4 linked regions of the Arabidopsis thaliana genome follow. The protein of the gene in region 1 interacts with the protein of each later gene in a pairwise test. Each region holds a gene or a part of one and is shown in the gene's direction. Other genes may lie near its edges.

Region 1 (7,221 bases):
ATTTTTTCTTTTTCGGTTTTCTTTTTATATCGTCTTCTTCGGAAATTAGAAAGGAGAAGAAAATCTGAATTTCTGATTGCCGGCGATGGAAGGAAGAGATGACGGCGGAGGGAAAGTTATTGGGTTGATAGAGAAAGCGACGAAATCAACTGCTCAAGAGGTTGACCCGAGGCTTCTCAAGGCGATCAAATCCATTGTTCGCTATTCTGATTCGGAGGTCCGACTTAGTTCGCAAACCCTAATGGAGCTCATGAGACATAACCACTCTCAGGTTTTTTTCACATTATTTGAACAATTTCTGATCCGTTCAATTCATTGAAACTTGCTCTTTTAAGGACTAGTCAATGTTGATTGATCAGGTTTGTTGGTCAAATAACGCGGTGATAATTTTCTTTGACAGGTTCGATATCTGACGCTTTTCATAATCGACGAGCTATTCATGAGATCAAAGCTCTTTAGAACTTTGATAATTGAGAATCTTGATCAGCTTTTGAGTTTAAGTATTGGGTTTAGAAGCAATCTGCCTCTTCCTGCACCACCTGCTGTTGCCACTACGTTGCGTTCAAAGGCTATTGAGTTCTTGGAGAAGTGGAATTTGTCTTTTGGGTTTCATTACAAGGAGCTTAGACTTGGGTTTGATTACCTTAAGAATACCCTCAAGTTAAAGTTCCCTGATTTACAGGCTAATGCTGCACGGATTCAACGAGAGAGACAGGAGAGGGAGATGAAGACAAAAGAGATTTTGCGGAACAAGTTTGATTCCTTGAGAGTTAGTTTTGGACTCTTCAAGTATGAGATTGAGGTAACGATAAAGGAAATCAAGGAGTGTATGGAAATTGTTCAGTGGAGAGGGGATGATGGTGTTCCACTTGCGATCTTAGATGAGGAAGATTTTGAGGAGATCCGTTGTTCTCATCTGAGGCAAATTCGTCTTGATTCACTGAAACAATCAGAAAAGGTTGAAGAAACTGGTGAAAACAGAATTGTATTTGATGTGTTGAGGGAACAGTGCAAGCTTCTAGTGACAAAGCATCTGATCTCGGTTCAAGAAGGGATCTCTCTTCTCATTAGGGTTGACGTAAGTGATAACAGAACGAGAGATTCCATGTTGAAGGACTTGATTGATATCAGGAATAACATATTGGCAGCTAAAAAGAAATGGGAAGAAGCTGGTTTTACAATGTCAAGAATGACTGATATTCACGGTAATGAAGAAACAAACGAGGAAGAAGAAGATATCTGGGAGGAGGATGATGGCAAGGTTAAAACTGATTCAGTCAAGAACGTGGCTCATGTGATGAGAACTCAGCAGAGTGAGAATTCATCTTTACCATCATCAGGTGAAGCAAAGAAGTCTACATCAGAAGCTAGGTCCAATAAAGTGTCGAACACTAAAAAAGTTGGAAGCAGTGGAAACTCTCTTAGAGACAAGCTAATTTCTGAAGCGCCTGTGATGAATTGGGGATCACAGTTGACTAATTGGGAATCAACTACGGAAGTTCGAGCTAATTACCGGGGTTTAGAGATCGAGAGCCACTGGGGCAGGGTGGATCAAGATGCTATAATTCCAGCAGATAAAATAGCAGAATTGAATCTTCAGGCAACCGTGTATAGAGAAGAGAGAACAGAGACACCTCCATGCCGTGCTTCTCTAAAGAAAGGTGGTCTTTGCCAGAGAAGAGATCTCAGAGTCTGTCCGTTTCACGGACCCATTGTACCCCGGGATGATGAAGGAAACACCATAATCCAGGAATCTCCATTAGATGAGAGTGAAAACCAAACTTCTTCAACTTCAGGGACCAACCAGGATGTGTCTATGGATGAAACAACTTCAGATTCTGATCCTAATCAGTTAGCTAGGCAAATAGCGAAAGAGGCTCTGAAGAATATCCGGGAGAAAGACAAAGAAGTGGTGAGGAAAAGAGCAAAGCTTGTTAAGGTTAAGGTTAAGGAACACAATCATGAAGTTCTGCGTGGTGCGGCAATAGCCTCAACTTCTAGATCGAATGCTATGGATGATGAGTTTGATAGAGTTTTTGCTGAAAAGAAAAACAAGAAGCAAACCTTTTCCACAAGGCGTAAGAAAACAACGGCTAAAGATAGAATATCCCAGAGACTGTTTAGTAATCGAGTAAAAGGTACTAATCCACAGCAGTTGGCTCAGGGCAATGATGAAAAGTGCCGGGATACATCGGCTAACCAGTGGTAACAAATAACTAAAATCTTTCTAGTTTTGATCCAGTAGTGCCTTAAATTTGATTGTTTGATGCAAATAGGAGTAAAAAGCTAAAGAATATTTGATGAATGAATAATCAGATCCGCTTGTGATCTCTTGTAGCTGTGAAAACAGTTCTTAAGTCAAGTCCCAGATTCTTTGAAGCTTTATATTTTTCTCAGACAAAAGTCACAAAACCCAACAGAAAGATAATAGTACAATTGACATGTTCTGTTAAAAAGCAACGACAGATCATTGAAGCTGGATGGATCGTTGTTGTTCGCTTTTTTCTTTTTCTTTTATGTGGTGTGTTTAAGGATGATATCACTCATGAGACCGATCACTGATGAGAAGCAATTATTAATTGAATAATTTGCTTTTAAGATTGTGAGAGTTTGCTTGAGATGAAGAAGAGTAAAATGTTCATTTACATTATCATTGGTCTTTGAAGTGACTTTGAACCCAAGCCACATCCCATTACTTATTATTCCTCTTATGAATTTCATATTCTTAAACCGTCTAATTTTACCTAAATACATCTCTTAAAGTTTTTGTTAAAGTAAACAGAAAGATGAGCATGTTTTTCATGAATCTTTGAATTTAGCTGTCATTTTAGAAGTTGAAAATCATTTTTCTTGTACAAAGGAAAAGAAATTGTTTGAATTAAAAGTAAAAAAAGAACACACAATAATGATAGACAGAATCCCACTAGAGAGAAAAACATCTAGAATAAAAAAAAAGAAGCAATCATGTGCACCATGTACATATTTAGGCCCATCTCTACTGGATCATGGCCCTTTAATTAAAAACAAAGAAATCATTGAGTGAGAGAGGATATACTGTACGTATATTATTAGAATATGATTATTTTTCCCCTATCCAGTAAATTCTTCTGAATCTCTTATAATTCAATTTGTTTCCAAATAACATTCTCTCTTTAACACAGCCGCCTTTGTGACCGTCCGATCTTAAATCAGCGTTTCCGGTTCATTTGACGGCAACTATCTCTCTCTCTCTCTCTAGAGAATTGATGAAGAAGAGCATCTATCTTTTTTGTTTTTGAAAATTAACAACACTTCACGAGGGTTGACCTGTTTCGGTGGTGTTTCTTCAATTCCGGATTTTGATCTTTCGTTTCGATCGAAGATCAATCAAAGTCTCCACCTTTCTTCAATGGATTTGGATAGCATGGACTGTACATCAACCATGGATGTGACAGATGATGAAGAGATCCACCAAGATCGCCATTCCTACGCTTCTGTTTCCAAGCATCATCATACTAATAACAACACCACCAACGTTAATGCTGCTGCTTCTGGGCTTCTCCCTACCACCACCAGTGTTCATGAGCTTCTCGAATGTCCTGTCTGCACCAATTCTATGTACCCTCCCATTCATCAGGTCTTTCTTTTCAATCCCTTGTTCTCTGATTTCGTTTCCCCGGATCTTTAATTTGTTGATTTTGTTTAGGGTTTTGAGTTAATGATGTGAATCATGGATGTTGAAGCAGTGGTTGTGTTGCTCTTGTAACTTGAAATTTAGTTTTATCCATTCACTAATGGCTACAATTGAAACAATTGTCACTAAATTTTGTCAATAGCTTTGATAGTTTCTAAGATTCTTCTTATTGTTTCTTTAGAGAATTATGGAATAACAGATAGACAATTATTTGATTTCCCTACAGTGTCACAATGGACATACGTTGTGTTCAACCTGTAAAGCCAGGGTTCACAACCGCTGCCCAACTTGTAGACAAGAGCTCGGTGATATCCGTTGTTTGGCACTGGAAAAAGTAGCCGAATCACTTGAACTACCTTGTAAACACATGTCACTTGGATGTCCTGAAATCTTCCCTTATTACAGTAAGCTCAAACATGAGACTGTATGTAACTTCAGACCTTATAGCTGCCCTTATGCTGGATCCGAGTGTTCTGTTACGGGCGATATCCCTTTCTTAGTTGCTCATCTGAGGGATGATCATAAGGTGGATATGCATTCTGGGTGTACTTTCAACCATCGTTATGTCAAGTCTAATCCTCGTGAAGTCGAAAACGCCACATGGATGTTAACTGTAAGTACATATGAATCGTGCTTCATAGTATACACTTAGATAAGTTAGGAGGCTTTGTTTAAAGTAATAGGATTATATTTGTGATAAAATTTGATCTGTCTGGTATAAACTGTAATGTGATCAGCTGAGTCAAATTTTGCTTTTGTTGCGAGTTAGCTTTCCTAGAGAAGGTCCAGTTATTTATCTAATCTATGGTTGTGAATTGTGAATCTTCCATCTCGCTATACATGTTGACTTGATATACTTTAATGCTTATCAAGGTTTCCTCTGTTTTGGTTTTGTTTCTGGTTCAAAAATGAAAATCAGGTCTTTCACTGCTTCGGTCAATACTTCTGTCTTCACTTTGAGGCATTCCAGCTCGGAATGGCTCCAGTCTACATGGCGTTCCTGCGTTTCATGGGGGACGAGACAGAAGCTCGAAACTACAATTACAGTTTAGAAGTGGGAGGTTATGGTCGGAAGCTGATATGGGAAGGAACACCAAGAAGCGTAAGAGACAGCCACAGGAAAGTTAGAGACAGTCATGATGGACTAATTATACAAAGAAACATGGCTCTCTTCTTCTCAGGTGGAGATAGGAAAGAGCTGAAACTTCGAGTCACTGGAAGGATATGGAAAGAGCAACAACAAAGTGGTGAAGGTGGAGGAGCTTGTATCCCAAACTTGTCTTGAAAATTAAAAAAAAAAAATCAAACTGATTTTGAAAACCTCACCGATTTGGCCTTGTCTCTGTAACCATGGTTATCTGTAATTAGGGTTTTCTCTGACGATAAACTTGGGGTTGTTCTTATGTATCTCTCTCTGTCTTTCTCATGTCATGGAGGTTTTTTTATTATAAAATATATAGTTCATTACAATTCTGCTATATCTGGAGGAAAAACGTAAAATGTTGAACCTTTTACTTTTATCAACTGTAGTGTTCATAAATTTATGTAATGCTTGTGTTGTGTCCACGAAACGACGACGTTTCATCATTGTTCTGTTAAACCCAGCTTTTGGAACTTGGAAGTGATGAGCTTTATATCTGGAAAATGTAAAATGTTGAACCTTTTTTCAACTGTAGTGTTGTTCAAAGGCGTTAGCTTTGTTTAAGAAACGACGACGTTTCATCATTGTTCTGTTAAACCCAGCTTTTGGGGGTTTTCTCACTCGGAAGTGAGCTTTATCCCTTTGGTTTCCATCAATGGAGGTTCTACTAAACTCCAATGATGGTTTCTTCAATTTCTCGTCTTTCTCGTCCAATTCGAACAGGAGACTCGCTAACCAACGTCGATTCAACTTGCCCATCTCCAAATTCCACTACTATCGCGTTTCAATTCTCCGAGTCTCGGCTCGGTTCGGAGAGACCTCGAGGCGACGTAATTCGCTGAGGAAGAAGATCATCGGTGATGAGTATTGGCGTTCGACTCCGAAATCTTCTGAACCAGGTACGAAACCTCTAAACGAAAGCCATAAGTTTGGTCACTGTGATGATTTAAGTAGCACCGAGGGATTGAAAGATAGGGTTGCTCAAGATTCAAATTTGCTGAATGAGCTTGAAGATTGGGTTGCTCGGTATAACAAGGAAGCAGAGTTTTGGGGTATTGGTTCGAATCCCATTTTCACTGTCTATCAGGATTCTGTTGGAAACGTAGAGAAAGTAGAGGTTGATGAAGACGAGGTCTTGAGTAGAAGAAGATCAGCTCTTGGGGATTTGGAATCAGTGAGTTCTAAGCTTGTATATGCGAAGAAATTAGCTGAACAAATGGAGAATGGGGAACATGTGATCCATAAGGAGAGTTCTCTTGTCAAGTTCGTTTCTTCTTCTTCTTCTTCAGAGGAAGAGTTTCGTCTCGTTAGCTCAGTCCAAAACGCAATTCTTCGTCTTGACTTAATTCCAAAGTTGCCGGCGATTGGAAGAGCTGTTTTGTGTGGTTACATTGGACTCTGGTTGCTGAAGACGGTGCTTGTGTATAGGAAGAGTAATGAGGTTGAGTGTACAGAGTTGGAGAAGGAGATGATGAGGAGAAAGATGAAAGCTTGGCAGGAAAGGGATATGTCGGAGAAAGGTACCGTGGAAGTTTTGCACAAGGAGGGTTTGGAAAAGCCATTGATGTCATTTGAGAAGCCTAAGTTTGATCGAAATGAACTTATGACTAGTATTTCTAAAGTTAAGGGTTCAGAGAAGAAACTGGAACTCGTGAATTCTCCTCATGTTGAGCTGGACTTTGTTGATAAGATCCATGAAATCAAAGCAATGGCTAGACGAGCACGGGAGATAGAAGCTGGCATAGAACTTAATGAAAAGCAGAAGCTCGATGTGAACAAAGAAACAGGCGACAATGAGGAAGATATAAGCATTCAGTCACAGAAGAGTCTTCCACATGAGGCTTTGACACACAGTGAAGGTGATGATGATAAAGATGAACGCTTGGGAACTTCGACTGACAGTGAGAACACTGAACTTTCTGGTTTTGCTGTTCCGATGTTGAATGGGGCTATGGTAGATTTTGGTTTTCTGAATCATGAAATGGCAGCATCTGACAAAGAAAAGGTGAGTAATGTGGTACCACCAGTTCCTACAGACGGAGTCATCCAATCTTCTGATGTCTCTAAGGATCAGTTAAGTATGATGAAGAATAGCACTGGTCGTAAGTCACGGGTCATACGGTCTGTAAAAGAGGCTAAAGAGTTCCTTTCAAGAAGAAGTGGTGAGAAAGAGCTTACTCAGGAACCTTCTCAGATGATAGCCCAAGATAGTGTTGAAATCTTCTCAAAGCAGAGCGACGAAGAGCGTGGTGTAGCTAGAAAACACGAATTGGTTGACAAAAATAAAATCCTTGGTGCAGCTGTCAATGGAACCTTGAAATCTGCACTTGAGTCTACTTCTTCTGAACCGTTGGGGAAGGATGCTGATTGTCAACCCCAAAAGAATGATTACCAAAAACTCTCAGAA
Region 2 (8,557 bases), on another chromosome or scaffold:
ATCTCTAATCGTCTTCCAGAATGCTGACGAAAACCAACGACAGCCGTTTGATTGACCGGAGCTCCGGCTTCGATCAACGGACAGGAATCTATCACAGTCTTCGTCCCTCTCTTTCTCTACCTCCTATAGATCAACCTCTCTCCGCCGCCGAATTCGCGCTTTCTCTCCTACTCAAATCCTCACCACCTGCCACCGCCGGGAAAAACATTGAAGCCTTAACCTACCTAGTTAACTCGAGCTCTGGTGATAACCTCACTTATGGAGAGCTTCTTCGTAGAGTTCGTTCTCTTGCTGTATCTCTCCGGGAGCGATTTCCTTCTCTTGCCTCCAGAAATGTCGCTTTTATCCTCTCTCCTTCTTCGTTGGACATACCAGTGCTTTACTTAGCTTTGATGTCGATCGGTGTTGTTGTTTCACCGGCGAACCCAATCGGATCTGAATCGGAGGTGAGTCATCAAGTCGAAGTCAGTGAACCAGTAATTGCGTTCGCGACATCGCAGACGGTTAAGAAGCTTCAATCCTCTTCTTTGCCTCTCGGAACTGTTCTGATGGACTCGACTGAGTTTCTCTCCTGGTTAAATCGATCGGATTCTTCATCGGTTAATCCATTTCAGGTTCAGGTCAACCAATCGGACCCTGCCGCTATCCTCTTTTCCTCTGGAACAACCGGGCGGGTCAAAGGCGTTTTGCTCACTCACCGTAACCTAATCGCCTCGACCGCCGTATCTCACCAACGGACTCTCCAAGATCCGGTTAATTACGATCGCGTTGGACTGTTCTCGCTTCCGCTCTTCCACGTGTTTGGTTTCATGATGATGATTCGAGCCATCTCGCTTGGAGAGACATTGGTGCTTTTAGGGAGATTTGAACTCGAGGCGATGTTTAAGGCGGTGGAGAAATATAAGGTTACTGGTATGCCTGTATCTCCTCCGTTGATTGTAGCGTTGGTCAAATCGGAGCTCACGAAGAAGTACGATCTCCGGTCGTTGCGTTCCCTTGGCTGCGGAGGAGCTCCACTCGGCAAAGACATCGCAGAGAGGTTTAAGCAGAAATTCCCAGATGTAGATATTGTACAGGTAATAACTGATAAGACAGTTAGTGTCAAAATATGACTTTGTATATAGGACTGTGTCCAGTTTCATGATACTTGGTTTTCATCAAGATTTTGAATCATTTATATGACTTTTAACTTTCTGGTTTGGTGATGGCTTACAGGGCTATGGCTTGACAGAGAGCTCGGGACCAGCTGCCTCAACGTTTGGACCTGAAGAGATGGTAAAATATGGCTCAGTTGGTCGTATCTCTGAGAATATGGAAGCCAAAATTGTTGATCCATCCACCGGAGAATCCTTGCCACCGGGAAAAACTGGTGAACTCTGGCTCCGAGGACCAGTCATCATGAAAGGTATCATAAAACATATGCAATAGTTGAGGAACATGCAATGTGCTGAGCTGGTGTAAACTAAATGACTTTGCATATAAGAATCTAGGACTGTCAAATTATATCAAGACTTTGACCATTAATGTGACTTTGCATATAAGAATCTAGGACTGTGTCAAATTAAATCGAGACTTGTGACTTTGCATAGAAGAATCTAGGACTGTGTAACAAATGCAATAGTTTGAGGAACATTCAAGAGCTTTCACTAAATGACTTAGCATATAAGAAGAAATCTAGGACTCAGTCGGATTTCATGATCCTTGAAGTCTAATGTCTTCATCAAGATTTTGATCATTGATGTGACTATAAACCTGTGATTAATGGGCACAGGTTATGTGGGAAACGAGAAAGCGAGTGCGGAGACAGTAGACAAAGAAGGGTGGTTAAAGACTGGTGATCTCTGTTATTTTGATTCGGAAGATTTTCTATATATTGTTGATCGGCTAAAGGAGCTAATCAAATACAAGGCTTATCAGGTAAATTTTACGAGTCAGAAGAAGAAGATATAGTCTTTAGAGTTTAATATTAATCAAAAGCGTCATCTTATAGGTTCCACCGGTAGAGTTGGAGCAGATTCTTCACTCGAATCCAGATGTGATTGATGCTGCAGTTGTTCCGTGAGTCTTTTAAACTCAAATTTGTAACTTCTTGAAATGTGTTTCTGATACTGACATGGATCATGAATTCAAGGTTCCCTGACGAGGATGCAGGAGAGATTCCAATGGCTTTCATAGTGAGAAAACCAGGAAGCAATCTCAACGAAGCGCAAATCATTGATTTCGTAGCTAAACAAGTAATGCTCATTGCTCTAGAATGTTGGTTATATTAATTTTTAGTACAAGTAGACAGAACAATTAGATTTGATGTTTTGGTTTGCTTATGTAACTATTTGTGTGTAGGTTACTCCGTACAAGAAGGTAAGACGAGTTGCTTTTATAAATGCAATCCCAAAAAATCCTGCTGGCAAGATTCTGCGTCGGGAGCTTACTAAAATCGCTGTGGATGGCAATGCATCAAAACTTTGAGATAACCGGCTGGTTCATATATTATTGTGTCGGTTTTCAGTGAAAATGGGATCTAATTACCGGTTCAGACGAAATGTAGCTTACATTCTTACTACACAAGATTTAATGTAATATTGACCGTTCGATTAACAACGTGAGTATTATTATTTATAGCATCGTCATTCGTCACCGTCACCGTCCAAACAATAAACGACTAGTTTCGTGTTCATTAATTAGATCCAACGGCTGTAATACGTAGCTCACGTTCTTTTGGTACACCCGCAAACATTAGATAAATCTGTGAAATAGAAAAGGGAATTATTGGAGCAGCCGACCTATTACGATTATAAAACAAAGGGTAAAGTAATAATAGAGCCACTTGACAAAATTGAAAAACGCGTCTCCGAGAGGAAAATTTAGAGAAAAGCTTCTCGCGATCGCATCGGGCTCGTAGATCGATCTCCTCCTCCATCCAATCTTCCGTTTTCGTATTCACCGTCCGGTAAGACCTTCCGGTACTTGTGAATCGGAGAAGAGGAAGGAGAAAAATTATCGCGTTCCTGGAAATTGAATTTCTAGGGTTTCGTTTTTTTCTGAATTATTCTGATTCTGATTTCGTCAAGGGTGTTTTTCTTAATTGGTTGATTGATCGTCTTTCTAGTTCAATTGTTGAAAAGTAATTGAACATCTATTGAAATCTGCTTCTCGTGATTTGATTCTGGGTTTCGTTGATTGGTTTTTTTCGAGGGGTTTGTTTGTTTTATCCTTTTTTATTTCTATAAGATCAATTTCTCATTGAGAAGAATACGATGGCAGCAGGGGGTGTTGATGTTTCCAGAAGTTCCGTTGCTGTCAAAAAAGACTACGACTTTTACAGGAATGGTTCTCGTGATGTGTATGTTCGACAGAGTGGTAGAGATGACGAGAGGCGTCAAATCAAAAGGCCTAGTGACCATGATCTCAGGAGGAATGATGGGCGTCACCGATCACGGTTGGCATATGAGAAAGGGGAACTACGGGAGGAAGCAGAGGTTCAGAGACCCTCTGAGAAAAGGAGGAAGTTTTCACCCATCGTGTGGAATGCAGAAAAAGTGGGTAGAGCTCCATCTAGGGAGAAGACCAAGTCTCCTTTCCCTGTTCCGACTACAACTGTGATATCCAATCAGGCTGTTGCTGGTAAGACTACTTCAAACGATCAAGTGAATGCCTTGATGTCGCCAGAACCTAGTTATCTTGCTCCAGTGCAGCCTTCAGAAGCCCTGCTGGCTGTGAAACATCCTGTTGATGATTTGGAGGAGGGTCAGTTGGAGGAAGAACAGGTGATGCAGGAGGATGTAAAGGAGGGTCTGTTGGAGGAAGAACAAGTGATGCAGGAACCAAATATAAAGACATCTAGGTGGGGGACAGGTTTGACTTCCCCAAAGGAGGAGTTAATATCTGTTAACGTTTCCAAGACTAATAGATGGAACAGGAGCAGTTTGACACCGGAGTGCGAGGAAGTAATGGTGTCTGAAGAACAGCAGTGCTATTCGTCTGGATCTGGCAGTGGACATCTCAGCGTAGAGAAGCTTAGTGCAGATGGAAATTCTGGTCGTGAGTATTATAGTTCTGATCATGATGAGTTAGAACATGAAGATCAAGATTCTTTAACTCCGGGAGAGATGAACATGATGTTTGGGAGCAGGTCTGTGAATGAATTTCAGAAGCTAAACAAGATAAATGAAGGAACATATGGAATTGTTTACAAAGCAAGGGATGAGAAAACAAAAGAGATTGTTGCGCTCAAAAAGATCAAGATGAAGGAAGATAGGTTCGAAGAAGAGTATGGATTCCCTTTGACATCATTGAGGGAAATTAACATACTTTTGTCATGCAATCACCCTGCGATTGTGAACGTGAAGGAGGTTGTGGTTGGAGGGAAAAACGATAATGATGTTTATATGGTCATGGAACACTTAGAACACGACCTGAGGGGAGTAATGGATAGAAGGAAGGAACCTTTTAGCACTAGCGAAGTCAAGTGCTTGATGATGCAGCTGTTGGATGGTTTGAAATACCTCCACACAAATTGGATTATCCACAGGGATCTGAAGCCATCTAATCTTCTGATGAACAATTGTGGGGAGTTAAAAATATGTGATTTTGGGATGGCGCGCCAGTATGGGAGCCCTATCAAGCCTTACACCCAGATGGTTATTACCCAGTGGTACAGGCCACCTGAACTTCTTCTAGGAGCAAAAGAGTACTCTACAGCAGTTGATATGTGGTCAGTGGGTTGCATTATGGCTGAACTGTTGTCTCAAAAGCCTTTGTTCCCGGGTAAGAGTGAGCTTGACCAACTTCAGAAGATCTTTGCGGTCCTTGGAACACCAAACGAAGCAATATGGCCTGGGTTCTCATCATTTCCGAATGCTAAAGCCAAGTTTCCTACACAGCCTTACAATATGTTACGTAAGAAGTTTCCAGCTATTTCATTTGTAGGTGGTCAAATTCTTTCTGAACGTGGATTTGATTTGCTGAACAGTCTACTAACTTTGGACCCTGAGAAACGTCTAACAGTGGAAGATGCTCTCAACCATGGTTGGTTCCATGAAGTCCCGTTACCAAAATCCAAAGATTTCATGCCGACATATCCTCCAAAGCGGTAACTGAGAAAAAACGTGCTATCATTTGGACGAGAGGATGTCAACAAATACACAGGGAAGTCGACTGGTCGTATTTTGGTATTTTCCTTTTTACTCAAAAGACTTGCTTTCATCTATTCTTAACTCAGTTGCGTTGCTTTGTTGCCTGGAGATTCAGGGCATTCTAGTGTACCATTTATTCGGATTCATGTGTAAATATGAGTGGTCCGTAAAACTGAAAGGTGTGTTTCTCTCTTTTCGTTAGGACCCTAATGTTATTGCTATCAAGAGTTGTACACACTATTGACTCACATGCTTTAATGGAAGAGATCTCAGTATTCACTTTCTCTCTCTAGTAATTGGGTTGGGATGGTTATTGTTTATGTCCTCATATTTCTTCTGTGCATTGTTTTTATTCACGAGGTAAACGCAAAGAGTTTATCACAAACGTGAGAATGGAAGTTGACATCAGTAAGTTTATTTTGATTACTTATTTACCACGCTCTGTTATCAATGTTGGTTTGTTGTTCGACGTCCCTTTGTCTTTGAGGTGCTCGTATTTGGTCTGTTGGCAGTGAGAAAAAGATGATTCATGATGAGTTTCTGTGGACATAGGAGGTATGGCAGTGGTTTTTTTCATGTTAATCCGAGAATTAAGGGATTTGGGATAAAAAGCTATATAGAAAGAAGCTAAAATAAGTTTGTCTTCAACACTATAACCCTTTGTCCTCCTTTCTTTTTAACTTCTGTAAACAGCTAAGCTAAATCAAGTTCATTTCAATAACGAATAAACTAGAATCAGCATTACCTTTGACGAGGCCATAAACAGAAAGGATATTACACAACACACAACAGTGATCAATATGAGGAAAAGCTTCTTTTGCGAGATGATCTGCATCGTTTCGGTCCTTAGTCTTTTGCTCCCAGCTCCTTACCATATGTCATTGTGCAGCTTCAGCTGTCTATTACCATTTAACAATCGGTAATGTTTCAACAATCACTTTTGTAAATTCCCTTTCCCATATTCCAAACTCCTGTAGAATCAAATCTCATATTGTAGTTGGAATTTTTCAAAACGAGGTTTCTAAATTAGTTTTCTCTATATCAGATAACCAACAATGATATTTTGTTCGAACCTTTGGTCGATTAAAGAGAACAGATAATGATTGCCACATCATCTGATTTCTCTAATGATACAGAATTTCATAAACAAATATATAGAAACGAAATACTGATTTATCAAGTTTAAAATTAACTAAAGAATGCCCTAGTCATGGGTCCTCCTTTCCAAAACTGTACAAGTGTCCCAGACAAAACGACCAGTTTAAAAGCCCTTATCGAGACATCACACATTACCTTTTTTAAACTTTACCGACTCTGACACCATCAGATCCACACGTGGCGAGAATTCATTTGGCCACTTTCCCCAATTAGGGTTCTTGGGCGTGGTTTTGATGGTGATTCAGTCTACCTTTTTCTCTCTGTCATCGAACCTCTCTATATTTAGTATTTCCTTATCTTCTTCAGCTGTCAGATTATAATTGGGTGAACATGTTCGATTTTATTGTTTAGTGTTGATAGGATTTAGTACTTGTCTTATATTTATAAAATAAATAGCCAAGGTTTGTCGATGGTGAGCATTTAAATTCGGGGTTCTTTTTTTTGTTGTTTGAATTAGTAACTAACGATGTTTTATCATTGGTTCCTTCATATCCAACGAAATGACAAAATATCACCTTTTTCTCAAATTTTGTAACTATTGATTCTTAAAAAAACATGGTACATCTGTTAAGTGTCTGTAATTTTTGATGTGTTTATGTATAGTTTTAATTTTTTTACATCAATGCATAAAGCGAAATGTTTTTGGTCATGTATATACAGTATGTGTTTTTCTTACAACAAATATATTACTGATGATATACGATTATATATATACGTATATAATATATGATTAAGAAATGATATGTTATATAGTCCGTAACGGATAAGATTGCTTTGTCCCATATGCATATTATATCATTAATGATATTTTTCATTTTTCGTTATTCATCCGTTATATTTTTCATTTTTCATTTGTCCCATATGCATATTATATCAGTAGTATGTTTCGATGGTGGTTTTATGTTGAAACTGTTGGCTATCGTATTATATAATTAATTAGGTATAGAATCAGCAGGTGAGGGTGAGAGCAAAGGTAGTCAATTTTATTCATTTGTTTAATATATACGTAGTAATCAATGTCTTTAAGCCAAATATAATTTGATCTGATCCAACCCAAAAAGATTGTATTTGTGCATCCTTCTTCTTTTAGTAACTATGACATGTTTTTGATAATTGCATTTACTATCTGTAGGGACGTCAAGTAGAACCACTAAAATCATCTATACTTTAATGATCAAGATTACATTGTTGAATTAAAACTTTAGCTACATCAACTCTATACGGTATATCGTGTTTTCCTTGCAACAAAATATGTAATAACGAAAAATGGAAGATGAGATATCGAATGTTAAAGAATCAAACCTAACTCTCAAGTCTCAACATCAGTCATCAGTTTCGTCCACATTCATGAATGTATAAATATATATGGACTAATTATTAAGCCTTGGTTAATTAAATAATGAGATTGTTTGTGTAAATTATAGTTGTAAGTTGATAAGCTAATTACATATCTCTACGTGTCCTCTTGCGTGCAACGTACAACGCAACACAAACCCATCAGATTTTTCTTGATGCCATCTCGAACTGCCTTCCGAATCTACTTTATTTCTATGTTACTATATTGGATTTTTAATAAGATTTTGACTCTCATGTCCATATATACTTTTTCCGAATCAATTGTATGATTATATTTAAGATGGCTCCATGATACCGTCACTCCCTCATGATTTTTATTTATACGCCATCCAATGTTCCTTCTTTCCCTTTCATAAAAGAGGTGGCCTAACTTCATTGGCACAAAATTCCTCTTTGGACATGAGATCATCGACCTTGTCCCGTTAATAAAGATTTGAGATCTAGAGTCACGATCACCTTTAGTTGATTAAGATTATATTCCACTAAATTAAATTCAGAATCGGTCAATGATAATGTATGAACCCTCATCTCTTGGACCATGCCTAACATTACCTTTTTTTTTTCATTTCGATGTACTATATTTTAACCTAATTTTGGCATTTATTCATGATTATCTGTTTTTAGGCCAAACAAATTAGTATACTATTCAGGTACTAAAGTAGTAAACACAAGGGTCAAAGTGATTATTAGCTAACCACGGGACCTACTAATTAATTATATACTATTAGACCAGATTAGGTTCTCAATTCCGTTCCTTATGTATACGTCTAATTATAAAAATCTCGAATGCTAACATCATATTTTTTTCATCCGCGCTTTGATTGAACAACCGAATATAAGAATCAAATATATACCTTCATGTCAAATATTAATTAGACCAATATACTGAGAACTTCGAATTTTCCAATAAC
Region 3 (7,827 bases), about 13 Mb from region 1:
GAGGAGATTGTTGCTTCAATGGCGAAGTAAGAGTTTTTTCTGCACTTTACGTGATTCAACAAGAAATCGGTTTATTGTTTTGTTTTGTTTCCTTTACGCCTGAAAGGTATATACATTTACTTTGCTTTGCTTGCTTCATTTAAGTATCTGGTTTCGACTTTAAGACTAGTTTAATTCAGTTAAACAGTGTGAGATTTTACCTTTTTCAGTTCTTGATTTGTCTGTATACTTGGTTCATGTAAACATCTTGTTATGAAAACACGAATTTTCTATTGTCTGAAGTCACTTAGTTTATCAGTGAAAGAGATTGCTCTAATATAAAAATTGTTTCTGGAATAATGATTTCGTCCTTTAGTATACAGAGGATCTGTTGGCATTTTCCTGCAAGTATCTTTGGATTTTGTCTGTTAAAAGGTTCTGTTACAACAGGTTTATTCTTCTAACCAAGAAACCGAAGAAAAGCTCTCTGCGATGACTCTTAGTCGGTTTTTCGTCAGGAGGTTTCACCAGATGAGAGTTGATGTTGTCTCCAGAGATATCATCAAACCATCATCTCCAACTCCAAACCACTTAAAGAAGTTTAAACTCTCTCTTTTAGAACAGCTCGGTCCAACGATCTTTGGTCCTATGGTTTTCTTCTATTCAGCTAACAACAGCATCAAACCAACTGAGCAATTGCAGATGCTGAAGAAGTCGTTATCCGAAACTTTAACTCATTTCTACCCTCTCGCTGGACGGCTCAAAGGCAACATAAGTATCGATTGTAATGACTCAGGCGCTGATTTCCTCGAAGCACGAGTCAATTCACCGCTTTCGAATCTCCTACTAGAGCCTTCTTCTGACAGCTTGCAACAACTGATTCCTACATCTGTTGATTCCATAGAGACACGAACCAGACTGCTTCTTGCTCAAGCGAGTTTCTTTGAATGTGGAAGCATGTCTATAGGAGTTTGTATCTCTCATAAACTCGCTGACGCAACTTCTATCGGTTTATTCATGAAGAGCTGGGCTGCAATCTCGTCCCGAGGGTCGATCAAAACCATTGGAGCTCCGGTTTTCGACACGGTTAAGATCTTCCCACCTGGAAACTTCTCTGAGACTTCCCCTGCACCAGTGGTTGAGCCAGAGATCATGATGAATCAGACTCTTTCGAAGAGATTCATATTCGATTCTTCGAGTATTCAAGCTCTGCAAGCGAAAGCTTCAAGCTTTGAAGTGAATCAACCAACAAGAGTCGAAGCTGTTTCAGCTCTTATATGGAAATCTGCAATGAAAGCTACAAGAACAGTTTCAGGAACATCGAAACCGTCAATTCTGGCAAACTCCGTGAGTCTACGCTCACGAGTCTCTCCACCATTTACAAAGAACTCAATAGGGAATCTAGTGAGCTACTTTGCAGCAAAAGCAGAGGAAGGAATAAACCAAACAAAGCTTCAAACTTTGGTTTCGAAAATACGAAAAGCGAAACAGAGGTTTCGAGATATCCATATACCAAAGCTTGTAGGAAACCCAAATGCCACAGAGATCATTTGTAGCTACCAGAAAGAAGCAGGAGATATGATTGCAAGTGGAGATTTCGATTTCTACATATTCTCAAGTGCTTGTCGATTCGGTTTATACGAAACCGATTTCGGTTGGGGAAAACCGGTTTGGGTCGGGTTTCCTTCGGTTAGACAGAAGAACATCGTGACGCTTCTCGACACGAAAGAAGCTGGTGGAATTGAAGCTTGGGTGAATCTGAATGAACAAGAGATGAATCTTTTTGAACAAGATAGAGAATTGCTCCAATTCGCTTCTCTGAATCCTAGTGTGATCCAACCTTTTCTTCATGTTCTCTGATTATAAAAACCGGTTTAGTGAGCTAAACCGGATATATTTGTTGAAAAACTGGTTCTATTTTGACTAGCCGTTGGGAGGCCACTAAAAAGGTTGAAATTAAAATAACGGGCAAAATTTGGTGATGTAATAAATAAATAGTCCTGAAGAATCACCTTTTTATTATATACTAATAAATTCAGAAGTTATTTTTGTAAGTAATCTCATGTTAAATTTAAAAACAAAAAGAATTTTTGTCATATTTTTTTTTTTCATAAAGACAGTTTCATTACTCTCTATTAATATTAATTAAGCACTAAAAATAAAATTTAACTTGGAGCACACTCTCATAACTTAATACTAAAAGTTTAATATTAGTGTTTATTATTATTAACTAATATTTTTAAAAGAGGACAACAAGAATAACCATAATGATAATTGATAGCTTATACGTAATAATAAAATATAGTTCAAAATAATAATAAAATAAACATTCTATAAAATATACGTAATAATTATATACAATTAGATAATAAAAAAACACTAAACATAGTTCAAAACAAAACAAGGAAGATTAGAAAATGTAAATACATTATTTTATTTCTGTAAACAGTAGTATATATATAATAATTAAATGATTCCACAATTAGATGAAACGTTTTCTATAAATGACGTAATAAAAATAAGGGAAGTGGCCGTTGGGGAAATTTAAATCATATGCTTAGAGTTCGGACCTACTTTCAGATTTGCAGCCAAAGAAAAAGAAGCTAACAAAGATTTTTCAGTTTTCAGTTTCTCAGCGAAACCACCAGATTTGGGGATAAAATTAGGGTTTTTCGATCTCCAGAGAAAACAAAAAAAATGGGAGAATCAATTTGTCTTGTGAGATCTTTCTCGCAACCTTCAGAGTTTTCATCGCGTGAAATCAACGAGGTTAGTGCTTAAGATTTCTAAATCTACAATCTTGGATTTAGGGTTTTGATAATAGAGATTGATTTTGCTAGTGAAATTTCTGTGTATAGTGTGTTGTTTGATGAATCTGAAGAGAATTTGAGATTTGGTTTTTGGTTTTTGGCAGGTGGTACCGAATCGAGTGCTTACGGAATCAGTATCGTTTGGTAGATATGCGAATGAAACACTAGCGTGGGCGAGATGGTCAGCTTTTACTCAGAATCGTTACTTGGAAGAGGTTGAGAGGTTTACTAAACCTGGTTCTGTAGCAGAGAAGAAAGCTTTCTTTGAAGCTCATTTCAAGAACCGAGCTTCAGGGAAAGCAGCAACACAGACGAAGAAGATTGAACAAGTAAAGGTTAAAGATAGTGTTGAGATTGTTTGTGATATACCTAAGGATATTCTCGTTGATTCAGAAGTACCACTAGCGGTGAATAGAGAGGTGTCTAGTAATGAGGTGGACTCTGTTGTTCCATCAATTTCTGTAATAGATGAAACTGGTAAAGTGGAGAACTTGAAGTCAGTGGTTGTTCCTGATGAGGTAAATGCATTTCTGTTACATTGCAATTTCCTGTTTTTATTTTTTCTCTCTAAACGTCCATGGTGTTTTCAGGGCAATTCTACTTCTTTGAGCAAAGAAAGACCTCCTAGTTCTTCCGGATCGAAGGTCTCAAGCTCAAAACTGGAATCTTCCGTTGTTATAGAACTGGATCATTCACTTAAGAACACTAAAAAAGAGTCATCCTCGAGTAGTACAAGGTCACTTAGTGCATCGAAGAACCGAAGTAGATCACCTCCTGAGCCCATTCACATGTCAATCAGCTGTGTTTCTTCTAGTAATACCGAGAAAACTATTGTGGGGAGGCCCCAGAACGGTTCTAGGAGTGCAGTGAAAGCAGACAAGAAGAAGAGATCAGGTCCAAGTTCAGTTCACATGTCACTCAATTTTGCTTCTTCTACTCTTCGTACGACCAAAGAAGCCCCAAAAACACTGGCAAGAAACTCCACTACACAGGGAACAACTTCAACAAATGCTAGAAACAAACTTTTCCCAAAGATAAACGAACCAACGGGAGCTTTAAAAAGCTGCAAGAGACCATTGTCTCAGACATCCAAAGACGGTTCAACCAATGTAATTCTCTTCCCAAGTTTCTCTTCTTGCGTATATCCCAAGCATATTTGCTGAGACTGACTCTTACATATATTGCAGGCCTCTGCTGTCACGTTACCCAGACTTCCTCTTCTCAGTAATCTGCTATCAGAAAACAAAAGGTTACTGATCAAACCATCTTCAACACCAATTCATCGCTTTATACTATTACTTTATTATTAACTCAACCCTATAATTAACTTTGCTTCTTCTGATATACAGGAAAAACATATCTGTAAGGAGTTCAGTTTCATGTAGAATATCCAACAATGAGCAAAGAAAACCTTCTGTCGGGTAAGCGGTTTAAGTACCAACCTCTTAGAGAAATACTATCTTATGTCACTTACTGCAAATGGCCTGAGTTGGTTAATTGAAAGTGTTTGTGTTAGTTCCCTGATTTATGTGGACATAAGACGAGATGTTTTTGTCTAATGCATTTTGCAGCTGTGAAAATCTGTCAACTCATAGCAGAACCAAAGCAAAGTCTTTGACTGTATCTTCTCCCTTCGTCTTCAGAAGTGATGAAAGGGCAGAGAAGAGGAAAGAGGTAGAACTAAAGAAGATCCTTTTACTTTATCTTTGAGATTATTTGAGGACTTATAGAGCCGTAGTTTAAAAAAGATCTCTTTTGTTGTGGATGTGTCTTGTCTGTTAGTTCTTCAAGAAAGTAGAGGAAAAAAACAAGAAAGAGAAAGAGGATAAATTTTCTTGCGGCTTCAAGGCAAATCAAAACACTAACTTAGCATCTGAAGAACACAAGAACCCACAAGTTGGTGGTTTTCAGGTATATTCAACTCTCAGACTGTAACTTGTCATAAATTTGGGTATTGAATCTTTGATGTATGACATTATAATCATGTGCAGGTAACACCGATGACCCTGACTTCACCAAGATTCCGCAGGAACCAAACTCCAGGAAAAGAGAACATAAAAAAACCTCATCAAACTCCTCATAAAGCTTCCTCAATGAAGATCATCAACACCAAAAAAGTAGTCATGGAGAAGCACAAAAGCAGCAAGATCCATCCCTCCTCCAAACAGCAGACAACAAAAAGAACTCAAGAAAATATGTCTCCTAATATTCTTCAGAACTAACCAGAGACAAACCAGATCAATCGATTCCTCTTCTTCAAGTCTCTAGATCATCGTAAAGATTCGACTTTTCACTTTGAAGATTCCGAAAGTTTTGTCCCTTCAGCTAGTAATCTCATCTCAAGCTTATGGTTTAGGTGACTAGCCCTTGATTCAGATTGTGTAACCACAAGCTTTTAAGGAGCTGTGTAGAATAGATAGAACTCAAGTCTACTTACTCTTCAAAGTAACTATGTACTCAATAGTTCTGTAGTATCAATCTTGTATCATTTGTATACATAGAGATTTGAAATAAAGAATTATGTCTACTTTTCAATTTCTCATTGTGTTTCTTTCTTGAATTAGTATAGACAGGAACATGGCAAAGCTTTCTGTTTTACATTTGTTTTAAACGACGACGTTTTGGTATGATGTTGTGATGTTGTGTTGTTGTGGTGTGGGCCTCTCGTTTCAGAGGTGAGAGAAAAAATCTTATCTCTGTGGACTGTGATTGTGTGATGTTTCCATATCTTCAGCTTTTCTTCTACTACATGCTCTAATCACGTCCTTGTAGAGGAAAAGAAAAAAAATGGCTGCTTCATCTTCCTCTTTCACTCTCTGTAATCACACCACACTTCGTACTCTCCCTCTGAGAAAGACCCTTGTCACCAAAACCCAATTTTCAGTTCCCACAAAATCATCAGAATCTAACTTCTTTGGCTCCACACTCACTCACTCATCGTATATCTCCCCAGTCTCTTCCTCTTCTCTCAAAGGCTTAATCTTTGCCAAGGTACATTTCTCGACTCTTGCATTGATAGATTGTTTGCTACAGTTGGGTAACAACTAGTTCTGGGAATTAGCTTCTTTGTTAGACCAATGTTTTTTGGACAATCTAAGTTCTGTTCCATTTCTTTTTTATATGTTTTTGAGTATTACGATATAAATATTAGCAAGACAATAGATTGTTAGATACACAGCCATTTTTGAATAAGAAACAAAAGATGTAAATATTGGGTTTTAAGTCTGAATTTAAATGTTATAAGAACAGATTTATGAATGTGTTAGTGCAGAATCAAAGACAAAATCAAAGAAACTTGTAATCAGTGTTTGTTTTAGAGACCATAAACTTTCACATACCTGAAAATAAGCAAATGCTAGAATGTTCTTGAATATGTTCAATCCTTTATTCATATGATTTAAGCTGACACGGCATATGAACTCTCTTTAACCTTCTGTGAATTGGTCTCTTTGTGATGTTTGGTGGGCAGCAGGTTAACAAGGGTCAGGCTGCACCAGACTTCACACTAAAGGATCAAAACGGAAAGCCGGTGAGCCTCAAAAAGTATAAAGGGAAGCCTGTTGTTCTCTACTTCTACCCTGCAGATGAAACCCCTGGCTGCACCAAGCAGGTTGTTAAATCTTTACTTTCTCCTCCTTCCCGCATTCATTGATCGCATATTTAGTGTTTCTAAACGTAAATGGTTTTACTTGTGTACAACAGGCTTGTGCTTTCAGAGACTCTTATGAGAAATTCAAGAAAGCTGGTGCAGAGGTCATTGGCATTAGTGGAGATGACTCTGCTTCTCACAAGGTACACACATCAAAAATCTCTGGTTTCTTGAATAAACCCATTTCTTTTTTCCGGATTTTAAAGAGAGTGGTGGGACTTTAAACATTGTTGCAGGCGTTTGCAAGCAAATACAAACTACCGTATACATTGTTAAGCGACGAAGGGAATAAGGTGAGAAAAGATTGGGGAGTGCCTGGAGACCTGTTTGGAGCATTGCCAGGGAGACAGACTTACGTTCTTGACAAAAACGGTGTTGTTCAGCTCATCTACAACAACCAGTTCCAGCCTGAGAAACACATCGACGAGACCTTGAAGTTTCTCAAAGCTGCTTGATCATTCTCTCTTTCTCTTCTTTCTCTTCTTTCATGCATGTCTCATGTCTGTCTCCATGAGACCATGACCTTCTTATATTGTTTCTGTTGAGTATGAATTTTCAATAATACCATGTTATACCAATGAGAAGGGAGTTGGCTTTGGTCTAGTACAAAGATCACAACAGGATAAGTACTGAAGTGTGGTTAAAATGTTAGTTGGTTCTGTGTATTTGAGTCTCTCGTTTTCATTGTGAACACCTCTACTATCTCTTTCTCTTGTATCAATTAACACTTCAAGTAAGGTACACATATCAGGTAACTCTAGCTAGCCCTTGATTAAAATTGTCAAACACAAAGCTTTAAGGAATTGTGTAGAATACATAGAACTCAAGTCTTCACACAATAGTTTTAGTATGTGAACTCAAGTACTCAATAGTGTTGTGGTCTCAATCTAATATTTGAAATTTAAAACGGTTATTTTCGCATTGTGTTTCTTTCTTGATTTGAGTATAGACAGGAATAAAGGTAGAGCCTTTGGACTGTATGAAGAATATGGCAAAGCTCTGTTTTTTTACGCATTTGTATTAAATGACGTCGTATAAGTCGGAGCACCGAGGGCCTCTCGTTTCATGAGAGAAACAAAAAATCTTATCTTTCTGACAACGGTGGTGGTGTGTGATGTTGTCAGCCATGGCAAAGACAGAGCTACAACGATCTCTCTCTCTTTTCTTCTTCTTCTGTGTCTGTCTTTAAATAGAGTCTCTTTGAAACGAAGCAGCTTTGTCCTGTTCTGATATCCATGGCTTTACCTTCGTGCTTAAAGACTGGAGCTTTAATGTCTCCGGCCACTGGATTTAATTTTTCCGGCAGTCTTATGAAGTCAGACAGCGGCTTCGCCGTTCCGACAAAGTTACAGAGTACTCGAAAAGGTGATCGAGAGAGATTGAGAGTCC
Region 4 (8,176 bases), on another chromosome or scaffold:
CACAATTAATCTCAAGTCGGTTGGAGTCATTTGTTCCATCAGTACACGACTACACGAGTGGCTGTCTAAATCATGTGTATCCAATTCTGTCGAGCCTAATGCCATAACCTGGTTTTTACCAAGTCACCAAGAAACTCTAAGTCACAACCAAACTGGAAATATTTCTTTTGCAAAAAGTACACAACATACGATACTGTCGTGTCCATGAAGCAAGAAGTGGATTTACTGTGTGGGGAGACACCATCAATCGTTACCTGAGTTGATAGAATGATAGTGTATGATCCTCGTCACCGATGAAAAGAAACGAAGTTGCCGAGGCTCAAGGTAGCCCGAAGCGAGGAAAAGAGAAAAACGAATTAGGTTTTTCATCGATGCATGAAGTTTTGATATACCAATGTGAATTGTATGAATAATATTGAAAGAATATATAAAGGTATTTATAGAGTTTTTTTTACAATGAGGACATATTCTTATTGTCGTTAAAGACTATGGTTTACAGCATGAGATAACAACCAAAGGTAAAATAATTAGTCAAAATTTGGTTTAAAATAGTGATGAAAATGCAGCACTTTAATTAACGACTGTTGTTGTGATGAATGAACAGCATTTCAAAGAGTTTGTTCGTAGCCATTTCCTCGTCCGGTCTCACCACATAGTGAAAGCGTGCAATGCTTATAAAAATGGAGCTCTTGTTGGATCAATGGTTAAAGGCAGAGACTGAGTCCAAGAACGTGAACAAACTAGCCAGAGCGGCTCCAAGAAGTTTAGGACCGATGTAGCTAGCTTTATGAAGACATTGGTTGATGAATTCGTTAATTTAGAGCGAAACCAAAACGAAAACCAAAACCATCTGAGAGCAATGCTAACAAAGAGACCCAGAGCAATAAAACAAACCTTAGGAGAAGCAGATTATCGAGGTGAGCCAAAGCTGCCAAACCAGCCAAACTGTCAAATATTATTTAAATATAAATTTTGAATATTTTTTTAGGATGATCTATGGATATATGATATCAAATTTATGGTACACCGCAAGACGATATTTTATAACTAAATATTTAAAATTTTAAGTTGTATTTGTTTTGCTAATATTGTTTAAATTGTTTAATGTTTAAAATTGTGTAATTGTATTTTAATTGTTAATTTTAGGATTTCACCCGTAGTATACCATCCCGTATTAATATTCACTCAAACCCGTCAATTCTAATATTTCATCTGTTGTATAAAGTTTAAATATTTATAATATTTAAACTTCTTATAAAAGAATCGAGATGCATCTGTTGTATATGTTTTGTTAATATTGTTTGCGAGATGCATCTGTTGTATAAGTTTTGTTAATATTGTATGTTTTGTTTAGTATTTAAGATTGTATAATTATATTTTTGATTCTTAATTTTAGAATTTTACCCGTAATATATTATTCTGTATTATTATTGATCCAAAGATCGTCAATATATGATTTTATCAGTAGTATAAAGTTTAAATATTTATAATGTTTGAATTTCTTATAAAAGAATCGAGTGAACTTCAGATCATATAAGAGGAGCTTCTCTCATAATATTAGATGAGAGGAGCTTCAAACAACATGTACTGAAATTTAAATTTAATCCAAAAGTAACCTGATATGGGTTAAAACGGAAGTCATATGAGTTGAGATAAGTTTGAAATCAAAGAGTTTGAGGCATCGTGGGAGATGATGGATTCAGGGAAAGTTTGTGGCCGAACGTTTTCATATGCGAAGAGACGATTTCTTTCTCTATGTTTTAGGTGACCTGGCTAGGTGTAGGTGTGGCATCCTCTTACATAATTTTCATTTTGCTTGAGAGACCTAAAACAACTACTTTTATTAGTAAGAGATATAGATTATTCATGTTAATAAATAATTAATTAATTACTATTCATAATTTTGAATTTAATTTTTGCAATTAATATTTATATTAAAACCAATTTAATTAATTTTATAGAAAAATCGTGAGAAATAATTTATAGGGAATTGGTAGAAGATAGCTTTTCTACAAAACAATTGATAGGAAATCGATCAAAACATTTCTTTCTGGTTCCTTGCACTCTTTCCTACTTCTGAAATTTTGTAATGACATCTGTTTTACTTAGGTTTGGTTTCGAATGAATTGCTGGTTTTCTCGAAAACTTTTCTCCAAACCGGGTTAGCGGGGAAAGATATGGCAAAAATCATAGATTTAATGACATTACTATTCCTCTGCAATTTATGAGAAAATAGGACATTAGTGTTCTGTTTCTGACGAAACCTCCCATATGCAAACCAAATTATAAGGTGAATCAATGATAGGTTTCATTGGCAAATTGGTTTCAATTAAATAGATATCTCTTGAAGAAGAGACAAAATATCTATGTACAGCTTACGCAACAAAGCTAGGGACTTGTCATGATTCTGGTAGATCTTTACGACAAGTAGGACATGTGAGATGATTCTTAAGCCAAGCGTCGATACAAAGCGCATGATAGATATGTCTGCAAACAGGAAATACTCTGCATTCTTCATTAACGACATAACCACTGAGACAAATCGCGCATTCTCTTGATTCTAGTGACTTTTCTTCATCCTCCTCATGGTTGCCTTGTCCAACAAGCAACTTCGGTAGTAGGGTTTCGATCACGCTTTGTTTCAGCCCGCGCTTTTTTCCTTCTCTCTCGAAATCTGGTAACCGTAGACCGGTCGAGATGATTGTGTGGTAGGTAACGATTCTAGCACGTTGTTGGCCTCTTTGTACTCCGATTTCGAGATCTAGGTCGAGACATGTTCCTAAGAATGGTCGCAGAATGCAATCGATGATGACGTAGATTACAAGAATGAGAGCTGAGGTTGCAATGAGAACAACGAGCAAGATGCAGAGACCGATGAAAACAGCGAGACCAAGAACGCTGATGAGACTAATCGCATCATCTTCTTCTGAGCTCATGTTGATTCTTACAAGAAACAAGTTCCAAGGGTTTTGTCCAAAATGGTGATTTTCAGGTGACAACCTAAAGATTTAAACAGCTATATATTTTTAGTCATGATAGCTTGTTGTTTAGGATAAGGCAGTGAGGAAGGATTTGTGTGTATTCTAAGTTTAGGGTTTGGTTTCAAATTCATATCTAAAGTTTTCTGATTTTTTTCTCTCAAAATTATCCTAAATCGTTAGAAAGAGTTCCATTCCATTTGATCTGTTATTTGCACACAAAAGTCCTACATGTTTTTTAAAAAAATATAAATTATGTTGTGGATTTGGTCAAAATTTCTTTGGTGATTTGAAAATTTTTCATTTTATATTTAAAAGGTAATATTTTCTTAATGGTGATACATATGACCAAAATAATAAAAGGATACATATATGTTGTTGTTTTTTAACACTGATACATATATGTTGTTATTCTTTTCCTTTGTGTCTGAAAATATTTTCACTTTATTTTTGACAAAATATTATTTACGCAAAAAGTGTTATTAATCCAATTAGATTCCATAATTAAGTTATTCAGCAAATTGACCTTTGTAAGGAATTAAATTGGTCATAAAGTCTAATTAAACCGGTCCAAACCGGTTCTGTTCTCGCTGGCTCGGCCACCGCTTTTCAACAGAACAATCTGTCTTTTTCTCTGTCTCACTCTCTCACTCACTCACCGGAGCAAAGTGATGTCGGTGTGTTCTTCGTCTTCTTCTTCTCAGAAAACATGGATTGTTAACGGGATCTTGGCCGGAACAGCGATTGCAGCCGCAATCGGCGCACGTGCTTATCTGGGTCGATCCAAGAAATTCCGGAGCCGGGTCGTCGGAATCATTCCCGCACGTTACGCTTCCTCTCGATTCGAGGGTAAGCCTCTCGTGCAAATCCTCGGCAAACCCATGATCCAGGTTCCTCCATAGTTGTCTCTTTTCAGTATCTCTGTTTATTCTCTGTAATATCGCTGTGTCGGATCTGGCTTAGTTTGGCAAATTTTAGTCGAATTTTTGTGCACTGCCTTTAAGTTTTCAGATCACACATTCAAGTTTATTTTTGTTAAAAAGTTTTCTACTTTCGTTAACTCTCAATCTGGTGTTAGATAAAGTTTGAATCTTTTGTAACTATATATTTTGTGTTTCTCATTTTTGTTGGTTCGTTCTTGAGCAGAGAACTTGGGAGAGGTCGAAGTTAGCTACTACGCTTGATCATATTGGTAATGTTGTCTCATAATCTTTATATATGAAAAATCTCTACTTTATGCATCTAAGATCTCTTCTATGAACTTTGCCTTTGGTTTTGATTCTTTCTTTCAACTTGTGATTATTCAGATTACAAGATGTCTGATTTCTGTGTGTTATTAATTTATCAGTTGTAGCCACTGATGATGAAAGAATCGCGGAGTGTTGTCGTGGATTTGGTGCCGATGTTATCATGACTTCAGAGTCTTGCAGAAATGGTTTCTTTACTGTTTTCTTCATAATTTTGGTTTTTTATTTGGTGGGATATAGAGCCTCTGGCTTAAGCTCTGTATCATTTGGGTGATGTTTAGGCACTGAGAGGTGCAACGAAGCGCTAGAAAAGCTGGAGAAGAAGTATGATGTCGTTGTTAACATTCAAGGAGATGAACCACTTATTGAGCCTGAGATTATAGACGGTGTAGTCAAAGCACTTCAGGTCTCGTAAACTGCTCAGTGAGATGATGTCTTATATGTTTCATCGTGGATTATGATCCTACTACTTAGAAGTCTTTCGAATGCTGTTGAATAGTGTTCCTATGGTTGTGGTTTCTAGGTAACACCGGATGCAGTGTTTAGCACAGCGGTGACATCATTGAAACCAGAAGACGGGCTTGATCCTAACCGAGTTAAATGTGTGGTGGACAATCGTGGCTATGCTATCTATTTCTCAAGGGGTTTGATTCCTTATAACAAGTAATTTCTCTTTTCTTTTTCTTTTTCTTGTGTGTATTGGTTATATGAATATCTTATTCATCCTCATACGTTCATATTGATCTGTTTGTAATGTTCATTATTGATATGCTTTTGCGGTTTAGGAGTGGTAAAGTCAATCCAGATTTTCCGTACATGCTTCATCTTGGAATTCAGGTACTGAGCAACCAATTTCTGTTTGCTTTTCTTTTTTTGTTGTCATGATCTAATCTCGGTTATGTTTTTATCCTCAGAGCTTTGATTCGAAGTTTCTGAAGGTATATTCAGAGCTTCAACCAACGCCATTGCAGCAAGAAGAGGATCTAGAACAGCTCAAAGTTCTTGAGAATGGCTACAAAATGAAGGTAATGTAAAAGTATCGCCTGTCAGTATATCATCCTACCAAAAGAAATGAGTCTTTTCGTAGAGAATATAGAGAGTAGGCACTAAGGTCTAAATGTTTGGTTGTGTACAGGTTATAAAGGTAGATCATGAAGCTCATGGAGTTGACACACCCGATGATGTCGAAAAGATTGAATCTTTAATGCGCGAAAGAAACATGTCCTAGTCCACAAAATCATTTTCCTTTCTTTTCTTTTTTTCCCTTTCATTAGGAGTACGTGATAAACGCCTTGAAAGAGTTGTGGCATTGTGTGTGAGACATCGAAGGTTTACTGATACGACATCGAAGGTTTACTATCATTTACCTAAAGAAAGTATCGTGTTACTTTTTGATAGTATCGATCTTTTTATTTTCCCCTTAATTCCTTTTTAGTATCGATCTCCTTTGTTACTCTCTGATATTGATGTTTGTAAACTTTTGAAATCGATGATTACGCTCCTGATTACGTTAGTGTTGACTGTTGAGATCCTCAAAACGATTGAGAAACAGGAAACGGTCGAGTTTGTGCATTGCATTTGTAGAATATATCCTTCAATCAGTTCCAAAGCAAGGAAACATAAACTTTTTGAGTTTAAAGGTGAATCCTTTTATTCACCCCATCTTTTTCTAACCAATTAGAATATGTCACTTAAAACAAATTAAACTCATTTAACAGTATAATCTAGTTCCTAATCACTCTTTCGTTATAAATACTGTATATATATCGGCTAGGATTTTTGACACATTAAAAATATAAAAACATTTGGTTTTACTTTTTATTAGTTTTTTCTTTTGCAACCTACTTCTTATTAACATATGATATAATTAATTATGTTAAAAATGGCTCAGAGTGATTGAGAAATATATTTATATATATATATATATATATATATGTACACGTGGTTGTTCAGAATAGCCTACAGTGGTAATGTAGTGAAACTAATCATTTGGGGAAGATTAAAGAAAAAAGAGAAGAGAGACGTGTTTAGTTTGTTTGTTTTTGTGAAAAGAAAGATGTTTAGTGAAACACGTGTTAAGTGTCATGACCAAGAGTTGGGGAAGATAGAGAAAAAGACAAAAACAGCTAAGAATAATAATGGCTATGATGTGGTGACTCTATAGTCTATATTAGTTCTGGGCACAAATATGGAACCGAATGGAACCGAACCGAACCAACCCGAAATTAATGGATATGGTTCGGTTCGGGTTCTATTGAAAAGAGTGATCAGATCTTGATTCAATGATCCATGGGTATAGGTTTGGTTCGGGTAGGAACCAATACCTATTCGGGTACCTAAAAATTAAAGCCCATTAGTCAATATATTTTTTATAATGATAGCCCATTAACTCATATTTCTTTTATAACTCATATTAATCTACTTAACTAAACATAACAACCCTTGATCCAATCCATAAGCTCACCATCTATTTCTCTTACTAACCTCTGCTCTCTCTTTCACTCTCATCCGTAACCTAATATTTGAGAAACCCTAGTTCTCTCTTTCTCAAAGACGAAGATAAAAACTCCTCGATTCATTGCAAACCTAAGAGGCAAAGACAAGCCTCTTATTGGATTTGTAATCGTATGATGACTAATATGTGATGTTTTATTGCATACTTGGATAATTGCTTATGAGTTTTGCATTATCTTTTATTGTTTTGTTTCGGTTTCAAAAATACCCAAAATAAATTGATTCCTTCTCGGTTCTATTGGTTAATATCCGAACCAAACCGAATCGAGTAGGATCCGAACCGGAACCGAACCGATCTTTGTTTGGTTCCAATATAGTTCCTAAATCTCAGAACCAAAATAATTGGAACCGAATGGTTCGATTCTAGAACCGAACCAAGGACTAGTCTATATCTCTAACTTATTTGAAAGGAAGATTGAATAATGTCTTGAAATACACGTGTACATTTATCAAAATAATGGTGATTGATAATAATAATAAAAATAGAAATAATGGTGATTGTTTAGGTAAGCCATGGACGATTATATAACAAGAGTAGAGGTCCTTGTTTCCGACACTTAACTAGAAAACGGTTTGAGAGATTACAAAGTATCGATGGAGAAACTTAGGGTTTTGTACCGTTTGATACTGACGATAACGTGCTTGGTGTGTTACGGGTTTAATGTTGGGAAGTGTTCAGAATTCGATTTCTTGATCGAGACTTACGTGTCATCATCATCAGTGCCGTCGTGCCGGTCCGACAGTTGCGAATGCCCTACGCAAAGCTTAGAAAAATGTTTTTTTATATACTACAAAAACCATAAACAAATATTCTTTTAAAAAACTATTCTCAAATTTGCAACTTTTTCAAAAAAAAAACAATTTGCGAAATACAAAAGGAAATAAATTCAAAAACAAACAAACAACTCTTCTAAAAATAAATATGATTTCAATATAAAAAAAAAAAAAAAAAAAAAAAATATGATTTCAAAGAGTAAAGTGCAACTATGATGCTTCTCATCATGAGGGAGATGTAGTGTCCGGACTTGGATGGCTAATACGGAACTCCCAAGGGACGGTATTAGAGTGCGGCATGGGTAAATTCCAAGGCCGAATGACACCGGAAGAGGCTGAATGCTCGGCACTGATATGGGCAATACAAGCCACCTCCGCTTTTGGATATACAAAGGTAATATTTGAGGGAGATAACAGTAACGTTAATCGTCTGATAAACACAAAGTCAGATAACCCCAGGCTCAAACATTATCTCGATACCATAAAAAGTTGGATTCCAAGCTTTACATCAACGGAGTTCATCTTCACACACCGAGAACAAAACCAATGTGCTGATACGCTAGTTAAGAAGGCTATCAAGTCTTCTACTCAATGGTCTTTGTTTAATTGTTGTCCTCATTTCCTTTATCCGTATGTAAACAATGATATTGCTTAAACTATAAA

Evidence for each region.
Region 2: the proteins of AT3G61790 (region 1) and AT5G63370 interact in a two-hybrid assay, tested with the Arabidopsis thaliana proteins (one large-scale study listed by BioGRID).
Region 3: the proteins of AT3G61790 (region 1) and AT3G26050 interact in a two-hybrid assay, tested with the Arabidopsis thaliana proteins (one large-scale study listed by BioGRID).
Region 4: the proteins of AT3G61790 (region 1) and CKS interact in a two-hybrid assay, tested with the Arabidopsis thaliana proteins (one large-scale study listed by BioGRID).

The regions. Positions count from the first base shown.
Region 1 is NC_003074.8:22,869,711-22,876,931, reverse strand, and holds AT3G61790 (Protein with RING/U-box and TRAF-like domain), read left to right. Parts: upstream 1-3,098; 5' UTR 3,099-3,388; coding exon 3,389-3,616; intron 3,617-3,899; coding exon 3,900-4,286; intron 4,287-4,592; coding exon 4,593-4,958; 3' UTR 4,959-5,235; downstream 5,236-7,221. Other genes in the region: AT3G61800 (ENTH/VHS protein), read left to right, coding at 86-271, 401-2,209; emb1703 (embryo defective 1703), read left to right, coding at 5,470-7,221. UniProt on the Arabidopsis thaliana protein: E3 ubiquitin-protein ligase that mediates ubiquitination and subsequent proteasomal degradation of target proteins.
Region 2 is NC_003076.8:25,381,490-25,390,046, reverse strand, and holds AT5G63370 (Protein kinase superfamily protein), read left to right. Parts: upstream 1-2,785; 5' UTR 2,786-3,254; coding exon 3,255-5,093; 3' UTR 5,094-5,559; coding exon of another isoform or gene 5,560-5,744; 3' UTR 5,745-5,877; coding exon of another isoform or gene 5,878-6,007; 3' UTR 6,008-6,237; downstream 6,238-8,557. Other genes in the region: AT5G63380 (AMP-dependent synthetase and ligase family protein), read left to right, coding at 21-1,076, 1,216-1,405, 1,772-1,917, 1,991-2,058, 2,132-2,234, 2,341-2,466; AT5G63375 (uncharacterized protein), read right to left, coding at 5,560-5,744, 5,878-6,007. UniProt on the Arabidopsis thaliana protein: Cyclin-dependent kinase involved in pre-mRNA splicing. Required for the correct splicing of the sixth intron of CALS5 pre-mRNA. May stabilize the binding of U1 snRNP to this rare type of intron with a GC 5'SS.
Region 3 is NC_003074.8:9,519,231-9,527,057, forward strand, and holds AT3G26050 (TPX2 (targeting protein for Xklp2) protein family), read left to right. Parts: upstream 1-2,506; 5' UTR 2,507-2,676; coding exon 2,677-2,748; intron 2,749-2,893; coding exon 2,894-3,307; intron 3,308-3,379; coding exon 3,380-3,898; intron 3,899-3,976; coding exon 3,977-4,038; intron 4,039-4,138; coding exon 4,139-4,210; intron 4,211-4,360; coding exon 4,361-4,463; intron 4,464-4,571; coding exon 4,572-4,700; intron 4,701-4,780; coding exon 4,781-5,011; 3' UTR 5,012-5,353; downstream 5,354-7,827. Other genes in the region: ATB' DELTA (serine/threonine protein phosphatase 2A 55 kDa regulatory subunit B prime delta), read left to right, coding at 1-30; AT3G26040 (HXXXD-type acyl-transferase family protein), read left to right, coding at 511-1,839; PRXQ (Thioredoxin superfamily protein), read left to right, coding at 5,577-5,780, 6,259-6,399, 6,492-6,581, 6,675-6,893; AT3G26070 (Plastid-lipid associated protein PAP / fibrillin family protein), read left to right, coding at 7,674-7,827.
Region 4 is NC_003070.9:19,742,607-19,750,782, reverse strand, and holds CKS (Nucleotide-diphospho-sugar transferases superfamily protein), read left to right. Parts: upstream 1-2,978; coding exon 2,979-2,992; intron 2,993-3,495; exon of another isoform or gene 3,496-3,594; coding exon 3,595-3,868; intron 3,869-4,124; coding exon 4,125-4,170; intron 4,171-4,326; coding exon 4,327-4,413; intron 4,414-4,506; coding exon 4,507-4,631; intron 4,632-4,748; coding exon 4,749-4,888; intron 4,889-5,010; coding exon 5,011-5,062; intron 5,063-5,139; coding exon 5,140-5,250; intron 5,251-5,360; coding exon 5,361-5,453; 3' UTR 5,454-5,791; downstream 5,792-8,176. Other genes in the region: AT1G53010 (RING/U-box superfamily protein), read right to left, coding at 2,400-2,936; AT1G52990 (thioredoxin family protein), read left to right, coding at 7,334-7,473, 7,712-8,143. UniProt on the Arabidopsis thaliana protein: Catalyzes the production of the sugar nucleotide CMP-3-deoxy-D-manno-octulosonate (CMP-KDO). CTP is the preferred nucleotide donor, but it can partially be replaced with UTP.